Linked DNA regions of Tamandua tetradactyla. Each later gene encodes a partner of the first gene's protein in a complex. Links are inferred from orthologs where the notes say so. Each region holds a gene or a part of one and is shown on either strand. Other genes may lie near its edges.

What was found.
Region 2: CC2D2A (region 1) and TMEM231 share a complex: the UniProt entries of both Homo sapiens proteins name them as parts of the tectonic-like complex. The link is inferred for Tamandua tetradactyla from reciprocal best matches to the Homo sapiens genes CC2D2A and TMEM231.

What each region holds. Positions count from the first base shown.
Region 1 is NC_135345.1:14,654,402-14,661,866, forward strand, and holds the start of CC2D2A (coiled-coil and C2 domain-containing protein 2A), read left to right. Parts: upstream 1-4,459; 5' UTR 4,460-4,557; coding exon of another isoform or gene 4,558-4,570; intron 4,571-7,465. UniProt on the Homo sapiens protein: Component of the tectonic-like complex, a complex localized at the transition zone of primary cilia and acting as a barrier that prevents diffusion of transmembrane proteins between the cilia and plasma membranes.
Region 2 is NC_135342.1:70,244,892-70,252,172, reverse strand, and holds the start of TMEM231 (transmembrane protein 231), read left to right. Parts: upstream 1-4,264; 5' UTR 4,265-4,381; coding exon 4,382-4,520; intron 4,521-4,629; coding exon 4,630-4,799; intron 4,800-7,281. UniProt on the Homo sapiens protein: Transmembrane component of the tectonic-like complex, a complex localized at the transition zone of primary cilia and acting as a barrier that prevents diffusion of transmembrane proteins between the cilia and plasma membranes.

The DNA.
Region 1 (7,465 bases):
AACCCACAATGTAAAATGATCTATAGTTTTTGAATAATGAATGAGGATTTGTCATGAAAATTGTTTGCATAAGTTTACACACTGGGCAAACTTAATAGATTGTGCCTGTGTCAGCATTTCTATTTTTCCCTGAAAGGTTTATTTATTTGACTAATGGTTTCTATATTCCTGTAAGATAAATTATTATTATATCAAAACAATCCAGCCACTCTGGGAAAGGTATACATTCTCCTAAGTTTACTCTTCTGCATAAGCTTTGGTATGTTAACCATCTCTAAGGGGAATATATATATACACATATACATATAAACCAAAAATGTCAAAACTGTTTATTGTTCTGAATATACACAATACTTTGTCTATTCAGTAAAGGTTTATTGAGCACTTACTCTATATCACACACTAAGATCTGTTTTGAGATATATTATAAATATTTTTAAAATCCCCATCTTCAGTTGAACACAGTTTGTTTCTGATTTGAATTCACTCCTCATGTATGTGTGTGTATAAGTTTAATGATAGTTGTGAAGGGTAGTAGAAATAGGAAATTTTGTAACACTGGTGAAACTAAAGGTCAAGAGATTTATTAAAAGGAATAAATATCCCTTCTAGGGTTTATGATTCACACTCAGGGTGAAGATTCAATAAGATCAAGGTAAACGAAAACATTTTAAGTATTTTCCCCTTTATGAATGTACAATGCACAATAATTTTAAATGTTCAAACAGACACATTAAGGAAAATTGAGTGCATGGAAATAATTCTGCTAGCAAAAGTGAGGTTGAAGTACAATTTCTCTACTTTTGTTCCATAAATTATGGCATAAACTTTCCTGTGTACTGCTTTGTCTCCAGAACAGTAACGTTATTTGGTTTTTTGTTTCATTTGGGTAGTTTTTTATTAGAGAAGTTGTGAGTTGCAGAAAAATCATGCATGAAATACAGGGTTCCCATATGACACCTGGGTAAGTGTGGAATGTTTGCTACAATTGATGAAAACACATTTTTAACTGTCCTATTAACTATTACCCATGGTTTAATTCTAGTTCACTGTGTTGTCAAGTTCCAGGGATTTTTTTTTAACTTCATTCTAGTAACATATATACAACCTAAAATGCCTCCCTTTAATCATATTCAGATACATGATTCAATGCTGTTAATTACAGTCACAATGTTCTGCTACCATGAACACCATCCCTTACCTTAACTATTTCATTACCTCAGATAGAAATTCTGTACATTTTAAGACAACATCCTGTTCCCTACCCCCACCCCACTCCTAGTCATGTATATTCTAGATTCTGACCCTATGAATTCCCTTTTTCTAGTCATTTCATATCAATAAGATCATACAATAGTTGTCCTTTTGTGCCTTGCTTATATTACTCAGCACGTCTTCAAGTTTCATCTACGTCAAGGCTTTATCTGAACTTCATTCTTTTTTTTACGGTTGAATAATATTCCATTACATGTATATAACAAATTTTTCTTATTCGTTCTTTGGTCGATAGCCTCTCCAACACTTATTATTTTCCATTTTTTTAATAATAGCAATTTTAGTGGATATGAAATGGTATCTTATTGCAGTTGTGATTGCATTCTCCTGATGGCTAGTGATGATGAGAATTTTTAAATATGCTTTCTGGCTATTTGTATATCTTCTTTGAAGAAACGTCTATGTGAATCTTTTGCCCTTTATTTTTGCATGGGCAGGCACCGGGGATCAAACCCAGATCCCCAGCATGGCAGGCAAAGATTGCCCGCTAAACCACCATGGCCCGCCCTGCCCATTTTTAAATTGTTGTGTTTTTTTTTTGGTCTCTTTGTTGTTGAATTGAAGGATTTCTTTATATATTCCAGCTATTAAACCCTAATCAAATACGTCATTTGCAAATATTTTCTTCCATTATGTAGGTTGTCATTTTACACTTATGATAAAGTTCTTTGAAATGCAAAAGTTTTAAATTTTCTTCTTCCTGATCTTGAAGGGAAAGCTTTCAGGCTTTCACCATTGAGTAGAATGTTAAAAGTGTTTTTTCATACATGTCTTTTATCATGTTGAGGATGTTTCCTTCTATTCTTAGTTTTCTAAAGTATTTGTGTTAATAAGTGGTACTGGATTTTGTCAAATGCCTTTTCTGCCTCACCTGAGATGACTGCATGCTTTTTTAATTTCAGTCTGTGAATGTGGTGTATTACATTAATTGATTTTCTTATGTTGAACCACTTTTACATACCAGGGATAAATCCTCACTTGATCATGGTGTATAATTCTTACAGTGTGCTGTTGGATTTGGTTTGCTAGTATTTTATTAAGGATTTTTGCATCTATATTCATAAGAAATATTGGTCTGTAATTTTCTTTTTTTGTGGTGTCTTTATCTGACTTTGGCATGATGGTATTGTTAGCTCACAGAATGAGTTAGGAAGTGTTCCTCTTCTTCAATTTTTTAAAAGAGTTTGAGAAGGATTGGTGTTAATTATCCTTGGAATGTTTGGTAAAACTCACCAGTGAAGACTTCCGGTCCTGGGCTTTTGTTTGTTCAGAGGTTTTTGATGACTGATTCAATATCTTTACTAGTTATTAGTATTCGAGATCTTCTATTTCTTTTTTTTTACTTTTCATTTATTCATTTTTTTTTTTAACATGGGCAAGCGCCGGAAATCAAACCCAGGTCTCCAGCATGGCAGACAAGAACTCTGCCTGCTGAGCCACCGTGGCCCATCCAGAGATCTCCTATTTCTTTTTGAGTCAAAGTAGGTATTTTGTGTTTTTCCAGCAATTTGTCATTTCATCTAGGTTATCTAACGTGTCAGGGTATTGTTGTTCATAGTATCCTCTTATAGTCCTAATTTCAGTGGGATTGGTCACAGTGTCTCCTTTTATCATTTCTGATTTTAGTTATTTGTGCCCACTCTCTATTTTTCTTCACCATTCTACCTAAAGGTTTGTCAATTTTATTTATCTTTTCAAAGAACCAACTTTTGGTTTTGATGATTCTGTTTTTTTCAGTTTTCTGTTTCATTTGTCTCTGCTCTAATCTTTATTATTTCCTTCCTTCAGCACACTTTGGGTTTGCTCTTCTTTTCCTAGTGCTTCCAGTTTTGAAGTTGGGCCTCTACTTTGCAATCATCCTTCTTTTTTAATAGAAGCATTTAGAACTATAAATTTCCCTCTCAGCACTGCCTTTGCTGCATCCCCTAAGTTTTGGTATGTAGTATTTTATTTTCATTTGCCTCAAAACATTTCCACGTGTTTTTTTTATTTTCCATTTCTCCCCCTCTGTTATGATTTCTAGCTTCATTTCACTGTGTGGTAAAAGATGATGCAATGATGATTTCAATATTTTTTTGTATTTATTGACACTTGTTTTGCTCTCTAAGATAAGGTTGGTCCTGGAGAATGATCCATGAGCACTTAAGAAGACTGTGTGTCCTGCTGCTGTTGGATGTGTTCTACATATGTCTCTTAAGTAGAGTTGGTTTAGAGTATCATTCAAGTCTTGTATTTCCTTACTGACAACCTATCTAGATGTTCTCTCCATTATTGAAAGTAGTGTATTAATGTTTCCGGTTATTATAACCACATTTCTCCCTTCAAATCTGTTAGAATTAACTTCATATATTTTGAGGCTCTGCTCTTAGGTGCATATATTTTTAAATGTTTTTGTTTTCTTACTTAATTATGTCTTTTCAAACCGGCACTTATCCATTCTGCCAATCTCTGCCTTTTGAATGGAGAGTTTAATCCATTTATATTTAAAGTCACTATGATAAGGCAGGTCTTTCCTCTGTCATTTTACTATTTTGTCTTTGTAAGTCTAATACTTTGTTTGTCCCTCCATTTTCCATTAATGCCTAGTTTCATATTCATTATTATTATTTTTTACATTGTATGGTATCAAGTCCCTTCTTGTGTCTAGGGCATATTTTTTATATATTTTCCTCGTGGTTGGTTACCCATGGGGTTAAAATTTAATATGCTAAATATATAACAATCACATTTGATTTGATAACTTGACTTCAATAGCATACATATGATACTGTTTGATTTTAAGGCCTCACCTTAAAAAGTAAAAGTAACTTGATGTCATATGGTGAGAAGAGCAATGAACAAAAGAGAGAAAAAGAACCGTTTAGATACCTGAGACCCTTGCTTTTGATTTGCCTAAGTCTGTGGTTTGCAGAATGTTACCCACCCTAACTCATTCCTAACTAGTGTATATATTAAGCTCTTTGAAATGTGAGTATTATGGGAAGGATCGCAGTTGCTTTAAATTATAGAAGTTGGCAAGTGCCTGGGAGAAGGAGTGGGAGGTTGTTTAAACTGAGAAAGACAGTTGCAAAACTTCGTACAACAGCATGAGCTCCAAGCTTCAAAAGCATTCTCATGCTCAGACGAGTGCTTTATTTTTCACCAAGTTATTTTTGCATTGTTTTGAAGCAGCTTCAAATAATAAACACATATTTTTGCTTTAAATTTTTTAATGGTTTCTAAATTCATGGGACAGCCAAAACAAGAAAGCCTCATGTTTTGGAGGAAAGTTTGACATCAGGAATGCCTAGAAAAGGTAAGCTACCATTTTCGCTACATTTTTCTCTTTTTTCCTCCTGTTTGGCCTTCGTCAAATACATTTACTGGAAGAACTTAAGACAGCTTCTTGTAAGGAAATGAGGAACTTGTAGAAAGTATGTCAACAAATGATAAATCAGAAGTTGAAAAGCCTCAGCAGTAGTATTTCTCCTACTTTCTATTCTGCTTGATGCATGAACTTTTGTGAAATATTTTTAGCTATATGAAAAAAATGACATTTCTCTTAGAAAATAGGGGCAGGAGTTCCTCAAAATCTCTATCCCGTATAAACCCAACACTTGCCTGTGTGCTGATGGGCTAATTTATTGTCAAGTTCAGAGTCTTTATGTTTTCTTATTCCACTATATGTAATTCACCTTTCGGAGCTATGATTTTTGCATCAACTCGGAAATCTTTCCCATGGAAGATTTTAATATCATTCCAAAAATTCTCTTAAGCACGGTTACTGTCACTTCTTATAAACTTGCTTTGCAGATAGTGGTTTTGAATGTTAAATAAATCATTTGACTTTTCCATTGTAACTACACTGGAGGATATTATAGACATTATATATCTGGGAAGGGGGAGTGGGGGACGTTCACCTGAATGTTTGTTAGTTCGCGTTGCAATTGGCCGAAAATGTTGCTCTCTGAATAAGGTGGTTTTGCATTATCAATTGTGCCTCATAAACAGGTAGGGAGCAGAGAGGCTGTGACGTTTTCTTGTATTTCTACGCATCGGTTATACGAGAGGTATCTTGTGGTTTTAGGTGAAGAAGTGTATAAATGCATAAGCTGTTCCTATTTCCCTGAGAAAGTCCCTGTTATCAGCATTTCCATCTTTCGGAGGCAGAATCCCAGGTGCAAAAAAAAGATACCCGCAGAGATCTGCAAATTCTTCTAGCAGGCTGAGATTTTGTCAGAGACCCACATTCATTCTTCCTCGCACACATACGTATGTACTCACAGCCAGCCATTAAAAAACCCTGAGGGTTCTGTTACGCTTCAGAGGTTTGGGACATCCCAGGTGACTTCAATCTGCAAAACCTGCTTGTATAGAAACATGAGCAAACCAGCCCAACGGGACATGGGTGAAAATGGTGGGGTACAGCATGGGGGACGCTGCTCCCGGAATAGTGAGGGACAGGAAGGGCCGTGAAGGGCTGTGCCTTCCTTGCCATACTAGCTGTTTTTCGGCTTTTTGAATAATATTTCCTTCTGTGTCAAATTCTAGTTGCATAAAGTGGATTATTGTAGCTTCCTCTGCCTTTTCTGGTCTCAGTGGAAGGGGAGGGGTCAAGGTCAAAGAAGGATGTTAGTACAGAAAAGCAAGAAGACAGCTTGGTCTCTTCCTTGCAAGGTGGTGGACTTAGTTGCCTTTCTCCATCCACAGCTGTTAGTGGAAGAAGTGAGGGACCTGTAACAGCCAATTTATTGTCCTCCTTTCCCTGTCTTCTCTTTCTTCCTTTTCCCCTCCACTTCTAATGTGCCAGCCCAGAGAACATCAAGAGAGGGAGGAGCGGGTTGGACTGACAAAATTATTTCCATCTCCGCCTTCCTGGTCCTCTCGATGTCCCCCTGGGCAGCTGGGGAAGCCCCCACCATATTTGGAGGGGGGGTCCTCCAGGTCCCCACCCCATGACCTCATTGCAGGCAGCCGGAGCCAGGGGGGGTGGGATGGCCAGCGGTTGCATGGCGCCTGAGTGCACCCTGGGGACGGGTGTGGCTGGGAAATGCGCCGTGTGGCATGACGTGACTGCTGGGGTCTGGGGCACCCGACTCCCCATTTTGGGGCTCCATGGAGGCTGGCGGCAATGCTGGACGCCAGACCCAGACCAAGCCTCTCCTCTGGGCCAGAGAAGGCTTGAAAGAGGACAAAAACAAAAAGGCAATTAAGGTTGCTGATGAAGCCCCAAGCCAGCTGACTCATCGGAGGCACAGTCTCTCAGGGGCTTGGCAATGAAACCTGGATGAGGCGCTGGAAAGGACAGGTCACAGTTGACCCAGGAAGGACACTGATGGGACGCCCAACCTGACCTATGGGTGCCTTCTCATGTCGGAGGGGCCGAGGGAGACGAACATCTGCCGGGTGGAGGGAGGAAGAGTGTTAACTAATGAACTGCTGGGGAGAAGGGCAGCATGCAGTCTGCCTGGCTTTGGGGTGGGAAGGTGGTGAGTAAAAGTTGCAGGTCCCAGCTCCATAAACCAGGATCTGAAAAGCCTCCGGTCAGGAATCAATACCTGAGTAGGGGTCTTAGCTTCCTAGAGCTGTCGTAGCAAAATGCCACACACTGGGTAGCTTAAAACAACAGCCATGGACAGTCTCACAGTTATGGAAGCTAGAAGTCCCAAGCCAAGATATTGGGAGGTCCTGCTCCTTCTAAGATTGTAGGAAACGATTTGTTCCAGGTTCTGTCCTGGCTTCTGGCACTGGCTTGCAGGGAACCCGAATGGCATTCACTGCCTCTGCTGTCCCATGACATTCTCCCCTTGTCTCTGTGTCCAATTCTCCTCTTCTTATAAAGATTCCAGTCATATTGAATGAGGGCCATCCTAATCCAGTTTGGCCTCATCTTAACCGATAATATCTTGGGCCACCCCATTTCCAGATAAGATCGCATTGACAGAACCAAGGGTTAGAACTCAAATCTGTCATTTTGGGTGGATGCAATTCAACCCCTAACAAGGGGCTAAGAGAGAAACGTTATTTTTATCGCAGCAGCCCCTTTGGAGTGGCCACTCTGCACCAGTGTCCTTGGCAAAAACAGACCAAACACAAACAAGCAAAATCTGCATAAGCCAAAGACCAAATATAAACTACAGTCTAGAAAGGTTGGAGAGAACACAAAGGGGGGCGCTTTGCAAATCTGCCTGCTGAAATCAAAGCAACTTTC
Region 2 (7,281 bases), on another chromosome or scaffold:
TCCAGTCTGGGTCATCATCTATTTATGAGCTGGTGAATGTTTAATAAGAATATTCACTTAATTGGGCACATGACCCTTACCCCGTGCTTGTGATTCTGATGCATCTGAATGGCCTGTATTTGAATATTATCATTCATCATTTCCTACAATTAAAATTCTCCATGGATGCTGTTGAATCTAGCTTCATTTTAAAATTATTTTTGTTATTTTAAGACTGCATGTCTGAGCAGCCAAAATAGGTGAGTGTTTGTTTGTTGATAATAACGTGAAAAATTCTTTTAATTTCATACATAGAAATCAGGTGTTTTTGTATACGGGAGCACTGTTCTAGGTGCTGGGGAAACAGCAGTGAGCAAAACACATAGCATCCCTGTTCTCATAGAGTTTACTAAAATTCTAGTGGAACAAGACAATAAATAAATATGTCATATAAATAGAGGTGCTGTTTAGAAAAGTAAAGCAGGGTAAGGACCTAAAGAGTGATAGTGGGATAAAATGCTTTATGGATCGAGTGGTGGCATATTATGGGAACAGGAAGGAGCTGGTGTGTCTGGAACTGAGGGAACAAAGAGGACAGTGGTAGAAGAGGAGGTCAAAGAGGTTTTGAGCCTCATATACCATGGACAGAACTTTGAATTTTATTCAGAATGAGGTGGGAAGTTAGTGGAGGACTTGAGCAAAGGACTTTCCTTTTTAAATGATCAGACTTGCTTGTGTGTAGACAGTAGATTATGGTGGGGGGTGGGGGTGAAGGTGGAAGTAAGGGGACAAGTTAAGAAGCTGTTGTGATAATCCACATGAAAGATGATGTTGATTTAGACCAGGATGGTATCTATGGTGGTGGTGGGAAGTAATTATATACTGGATATATTTTGAAGGTTAGAGCTTACAAAATTGGCCGATACATTTAAGTAAAATGAAATGACCACCCACTTTGGGCATTGCCAGGAGAAGACCCCTTCCCAAAAAGCTTTTCTAGAAGACAAAAACAATTCTGAGAAAATGGAATACACCCTACAGGATTGCTTTGGTCCAGTAGAGAAAGCTTATCAGAATGGACAAGCATACCATACTATCAATTTATATCTGCTCCCCACTTTGTAAGACTCCTCTATGTAAAATGGAAACTAATAGCAGCCAAGCAGAACATTTCCTTGCTTGCTTCTGCTTTCACCCTGTCTGAGCTTCTCTTTTTCACCCCTTTAATGGCGCTTCCTTCTACTTTCTGAATGGAATCCTGCCCAGTTTAAGAATTACTTAATAATGCTTTAAGATCCTAAATTGTATGAAACGTATTGCTTTTATCAGATTGGATATGGGTGTGTATTAGAAGTCAAAGTCGAGGTTGTTGGAAGAATTGAATTGCCATTTGCTGAAATAGGGTGGAGCCAGTGTTGTTGAAGTGGGGTCAAGAGTTTGGTTTTGGATATATTAAGCAAAAGATGCCCAAGAAACAGATCCAAAAGACATCCAAATGAAGATGTGAAATTGGTAAATAGATCTATTAGTCTCAGATTCAGGGGAGAAGTATTTAAAGCTATGGAACTAGGTGAGAGCTAGAGGGTGAGTGAAAATAAAGGGAAAAATATCTATTTTAAGGATAGAATTAACCCCCAAGGAGTGAAGATGGTTGTTCACCTTCTCATAATGTGTGAATCAGCAGAGGAGTTAGAAATTGGACCCAGACTCTTGCTTCCCTTTACAGAGTTGGTAATTATGTTCTGGTCCCAGGCATGTATCTATCACCTTGCACATGAGAACTCAGTATATTTCTCAGGGAAAGGAGTTATCCACCATTCACCAACTCATGGTCCTGCCTCCTGATGGTTTCATTGATGTGCAGTGTCTTTCTGTCCTCTCTCCCTACCTACTTTTTTTTTTATGTCTTTTCCCATAATAAATACTTGTGTAAAGTTCATGCACCTCACAGAAGCTGAAACACTCAATGCACCTACATTCTTAGCAGTCAGCTGCTTCTATTTCAGCAGTAACTAAATTGAAACTAGCTACAGTATGTTTCCTTCAGCAGTCCTTCAAAGCCTCTTTCCTCCAAAGAGGACTGTAACCAAGAAACCAGGATTTAAGTGATGACTTTGATTACTGAATCATTATATAAATATTCCTTTTTCCTTTATGGCATATTGGACAGAGGGAAATACCTGAAATCTCTGAACTGTCCTGATCCCTGGTAATGATTGTATAGCCCTTATCTTCTCTGTGATTGTAAAAACCCTGTGACTGATCTTCATTTTACCAAGTTATCCAGTTTTTCAACTTTAGAGTCTTGTAATAACTAAAGACAGCCCCTAATATTTATTAATGAAGTATCTTGGGTCTGGACCAGAACTAACCCACCCCAAATCTAAAGTTATCTTGATAAAAGAGACTGGATCTAACAAAAGCGGGTCTGCCTGACATGTGCAGTAGCTTAGACTTTAACCTGTGAGACACCTATACCTCTCCATCATTTTCTTACACACGTTCTGTAACTAAGCATGTAATCGATCTGCACAAGCTCAATAATTAGATCACCTCTAATTACATCATCTGGGGCCATTGTGCTCATTATTCTAAACCGTGCCCATCTTTTCTCTAATAAAACTATCAGAATTACTGCAGTTCAGGGAAACAGATTTGGGACAGCTAAGCCATCTATTCTTGTACTACATGCCTCATAATAAACGCTATCTCTCTTTGAAACCCTGGTGTCTCAGGAATTGGTTATTGAGCGCGTCGGGCAAAAGAATCCACGGCCTTTGTCCAGTAACAGGGCCACACTCAGGAGGCACTATCTGGCATCTGTTCTAGAAAAATCTTATTTTAATAGCTACTTGAGTAAATGAAAATCATCCACTTAAAATGTACACAGTATAATTTTTAAGAATCAAACCATAGACTTGAGCACAAAAATTGCTGAAGTTAAAAGCAATGTTGCCACCCCAGAAAAGCTTTAAAAGCAAGAATGAGAGTACTGGACTATGTCAAAGTCATATTTTATGGTTGAGGACAATGTCATCTTGGACCCTTGTAAGGACCCTGAGGATAGTTCTCCAGAATGGGCAGCTCTTGATCTCTGTATGTTTGAATCGCAGCTGTTCATCTAGTAGCTACTTCTAGGTTGCCTTCAAATTAGGGGCACCAGCTACCGGACTCCACTCAGCACAAATTTCACATTATCTCTCTCTCTTTCTTTTTTAAATATTTTTACTGACAAAACAACATACAAACAAACATTCTTAACATATGAACATTCCATATATGGTATACAATCAGTGGCTCACAATATCAGCACATACTTGTATATTCATCACCATGATCATTTCTTAGAACATTTTCATCGCTCCAGAAAAAGAAATGAAAAGAAAAAAGAAAAACTCATACATACCATACCCCTTACCCCTCCCTCTCATTGACCACTCATATTTCCATCTACCCAATATATATATATATATATAATCATTTTGTTCTACATATATAAACAGTAATTCACAATATCATCACATAGTTGCATATTCATCATCACGATCATTTCTTGGAACATTTGCATCTATTCAGAAAAAGAAATAAAAGAAAACAGAAAAAAATTCATACATACCATACCCCCCACCCCGTCACATTATCTCTTGATACTACGATGTGCTCCTTCAGGACTCTTTAATGAACTTGGGTGTAAACCATGGTAAAAAAAAAAATTCTTCTGCTATGTCCAAAATACTAGTGTGTGTATGTGTGCGTGTATGCGTAGCATTCCATTAAGGGGTAAGCCAATGCTATTTTGGGGTAGGGCTACAGCTTTCCCTAAAACCGCTAGCCAAGCTTGTACCCACTATCTGCAAAGAGGTCAAGTATATCATGAGTACTATGTAGTAATTACCCTCTATCCGTCGGAGGCAAGGAACCTGGCTTTGGTCTTAGCCCAAGACCAGGTCCAGAATCTCGGCCACATTTATTTTCCTCCAAATAAGGTGTGTTTTCCTCCAAATAAGGTGTGCTGTGTCTGTTTGAAGTAAAGTATGAACCACATGGGGAGTTAACAGATGACGCATAAGCAGGTTTTAGCTTTGTCAACCTTTATAGAAATCTCATTTCACATCAACGTTAATACAGACGGTGGCTACGATTCTGCTTCAGAAAGCCTCGTTCCCACGTGGCCTTCAGGGAAACCCACACACAGCGTAAACCTAAGCGGATCCTCCACCAACTGACACCACCCCTTTTAGTCCCACCCCCACCAAAGCCTTGCGACTTTGCTATTGGCTCCTCTTGCGCCGTCTGTTGCCATAGAGACTTAGGCTATGGCAACCGGGAGAAGCCAAACTTGGTCGGCCCCCTAGACTAGCCCCGCAGTCCCTAGAGTGCGGCCCGACAACACGCGGCGCCCATGGCGCTCTACGAGCTCTTCTCTCACCCAGTGGAGCGCCGCTACCGCGCGGGCCTCTGCTCCAAGGCCGCCTTGTTCCTGCTGGTGGCAGCCGTGCTCACGTACATCCCGCCGCTACTGGTGGCCTTCCGGAGCCACGGTGAGCCTGTCCCCGGCCGGAGCGCACACAGCTCCCCGCGGCCCGCTGCGCCCGGGCCGGCCGCCCTGACCTCTTCCCCACCGCCCTCCCTCCCTCTCTACCTCCTCAGGGTTTTGGCTGAAGCGGAGCAGCTATGAGGAGCAGCCGACCGTGCGCTTCCAGCACCAGGTACTGCTGGTGGCCCTACTGGGACCCGAGCACGGTGGGTTCCTCGCCTGGAGCACGTTCCCCGCCTTCAACCAGCTGCAGGGGGATCACCTGCGCGTCCCGCTCGTGTCGGTGCGTGGCTGGGAAGGAGGGCGGAGAGGGCGGGTGAACGGACCCCGGACCTCGGGAGGCCAACCGGGGTCCTCGAGGGTCGCGAACCCATGGAACTTGTGTACCCAGCTTGGTTGGCCTTAGCGTGTATTTAATTTCTTGGGGAGTAGATAGGTTGTTTCATTCAGTTTCTCCAAAAAAGCCCACGAGCCCAAGCTGGCCACTGCAGTCGGGGAGCAGCCTGTCTCTGGCCTGACCTTTCCGTGAGCTAAACCTATGGAACGGTTCTGAAAATGTCTGTGGGAGCCATGTGGGCGGACCGTGTTAGTGGTTAGTAGTTGAGCATCCCAGCACCCTAGGGGCTGAAGGGGCCAGCAGTTTTATGCTGACTTGGCCGAGAAACTGATTGTTAAGGGACCTTTCCAGAATGTGCTGCTGGCAGAACCACGCCTCCTTGGGCTTATCTCCTTAGATGCTGCTCCATCCTGCACCTCTCTAGGATGAAATAGAAGGATTTTAATGCCTGTAATTTAGTTTTGGGTTCAAGATAAGTGAGTGCTTCTTTTACAGTCACCCCTTTCCACTCATTTTCTGAGAATATTTTCCTTCATAAGTGTAAAACAATTTCCTTCCAAAGCCGAGTCTCTGTAGCGCCTCTGAGAGTATGGTCTGCACTGTACTTATTTTAATTTGCTGGGGAAAAATTCAAACTTTCTTCCAGCAACCCAGTAAGATGATTTTTTTTTTTAAATCTGGTCATTTGAATGACTATAAATAAAATATGGTTCTAATAACCTTTTTCTGGTTACTTTTTAAATTTCCCTTCATTTTTTCTCATTACAACAGTGTGTGCTTATTGTAAAATATTAATTTAACATATATAAGGAGAGAAAATAAAAGGCTCAGGCACATGTATCAATATTTGCTGGTCATCCTTATTCTTTTTAAAACCTGCAAAGTATTTCATGATATGGAAGAACTATAATGCTTTTAGCCAGTTCCCTGTTAATGGATATTTTATTTGCTTCCTGTTTTTCACTATTATGGACAATGATGCAACGAGCTAGATTTTGAATAAATCTTATATCTTTAAATGTCAAGTTGTGAGGAATTGAAGTACAAGCTGTTTATTGTAATTGTGAGAAGTGCATAGAAAACTAAACAAGAAAAAAAGCATTAACTCCAGGGAAGTAAAAAAGTACGGAAAAATGTGGAAAGGAAAAGTAATCAGAATAGTGAACAGGGTTTACATAGTCATAAGTATGTGAATGCTGAATATTGACTAACTAAATGTCAGTTTAACTGTTTTGGGAGGATAGGAAGGGTGTATGTGTGTGGTGGAGCTAGGTGGGAGTAGGCAAGGGGAAGCTAACTTTTCACTGGGGAAAGTAATAGAAAACGTCCAAAACTGAAAAATTGGGAATTGCCAATACAAACGTTAGAGACATGGAGATACATTTCTAACTAATCATATAAGAGGGTGCAAGGGTATTTTCGTGATAGAAGTCTCGCCTGCCATGCGGTAGACCCGGGTTCAATTCCTGGCCTATGCATTTACCCCAGCAAAAAAAATTTTTTCAACAAGTTGTTCATCATACTCTTCAAGTTATTTGAGTCTAAGAAATAATCATGAAAACTTACAGCAGCATTAGGAAGATACAGCTTTAGGCCCCATTAGTTGATTCTTTTCACTTGTTAATTCACCACCCTGGATGAAAGGATGGCTCCCCCCTGGGACTGCTGGTTAGCCGCTTTGTAACCAGCACTCCCTGGAGAGGACTTCCAGTCTCCCCCTATTTCCTGTGCATATGGGTTTCCATTTTAAATCTAGAGCCAGGACTACCTGTTAATTTTTATGGTGCCCATAACCATTAATTCTCCTTAATACTGGATAATTTTACACTGTTGGTAAAATACAAAATCCAAGCTTCTTTTTCTTAGTCTTTTTTTTTTTTTGCTTCTTTCTCCACCACATTCTGTAAGTATATGATGACCTCATATCTGTAGTCCTTCTCAGTAAATGTTTTGCTGACTATCTTTTTAACCCTTTTTTATTATATAACATATATACAAAGCAGAGAAAGAAAAAAAGCAGTAGTTTTCAAAGCACTCTTCAACAAAGGACAGATCCCAAAGTTTGTCATGGGCTACCATACCATCCTCTCAGAATTTTTCTTCTTGCTACTCCAGAACATAGGAGGCTAGAAGGAAGATTTTTTTTATCATCGCAATCTACTTTTTTTTTCTTGTTTTGTGAAAAATAACATATATACAAAAAAAGCAATAAATTTCAAAGCATAGCACAACAATTTGTTGTAGAACATATTTCAGAGTTTGGTATGAGTTACGATTCCACAATTTTAGGCTTTTACTTCTGGCTGCTCTAAGATATGTTACCAGACAAAGGCCATGAATTCTTTTGCCCAACGCACTCAGTAACCAATTCCTGAGACACCGGGTTTCAAAGAGAGAAAGAGTTTATTGCTACACCCGTGTAGTAGCA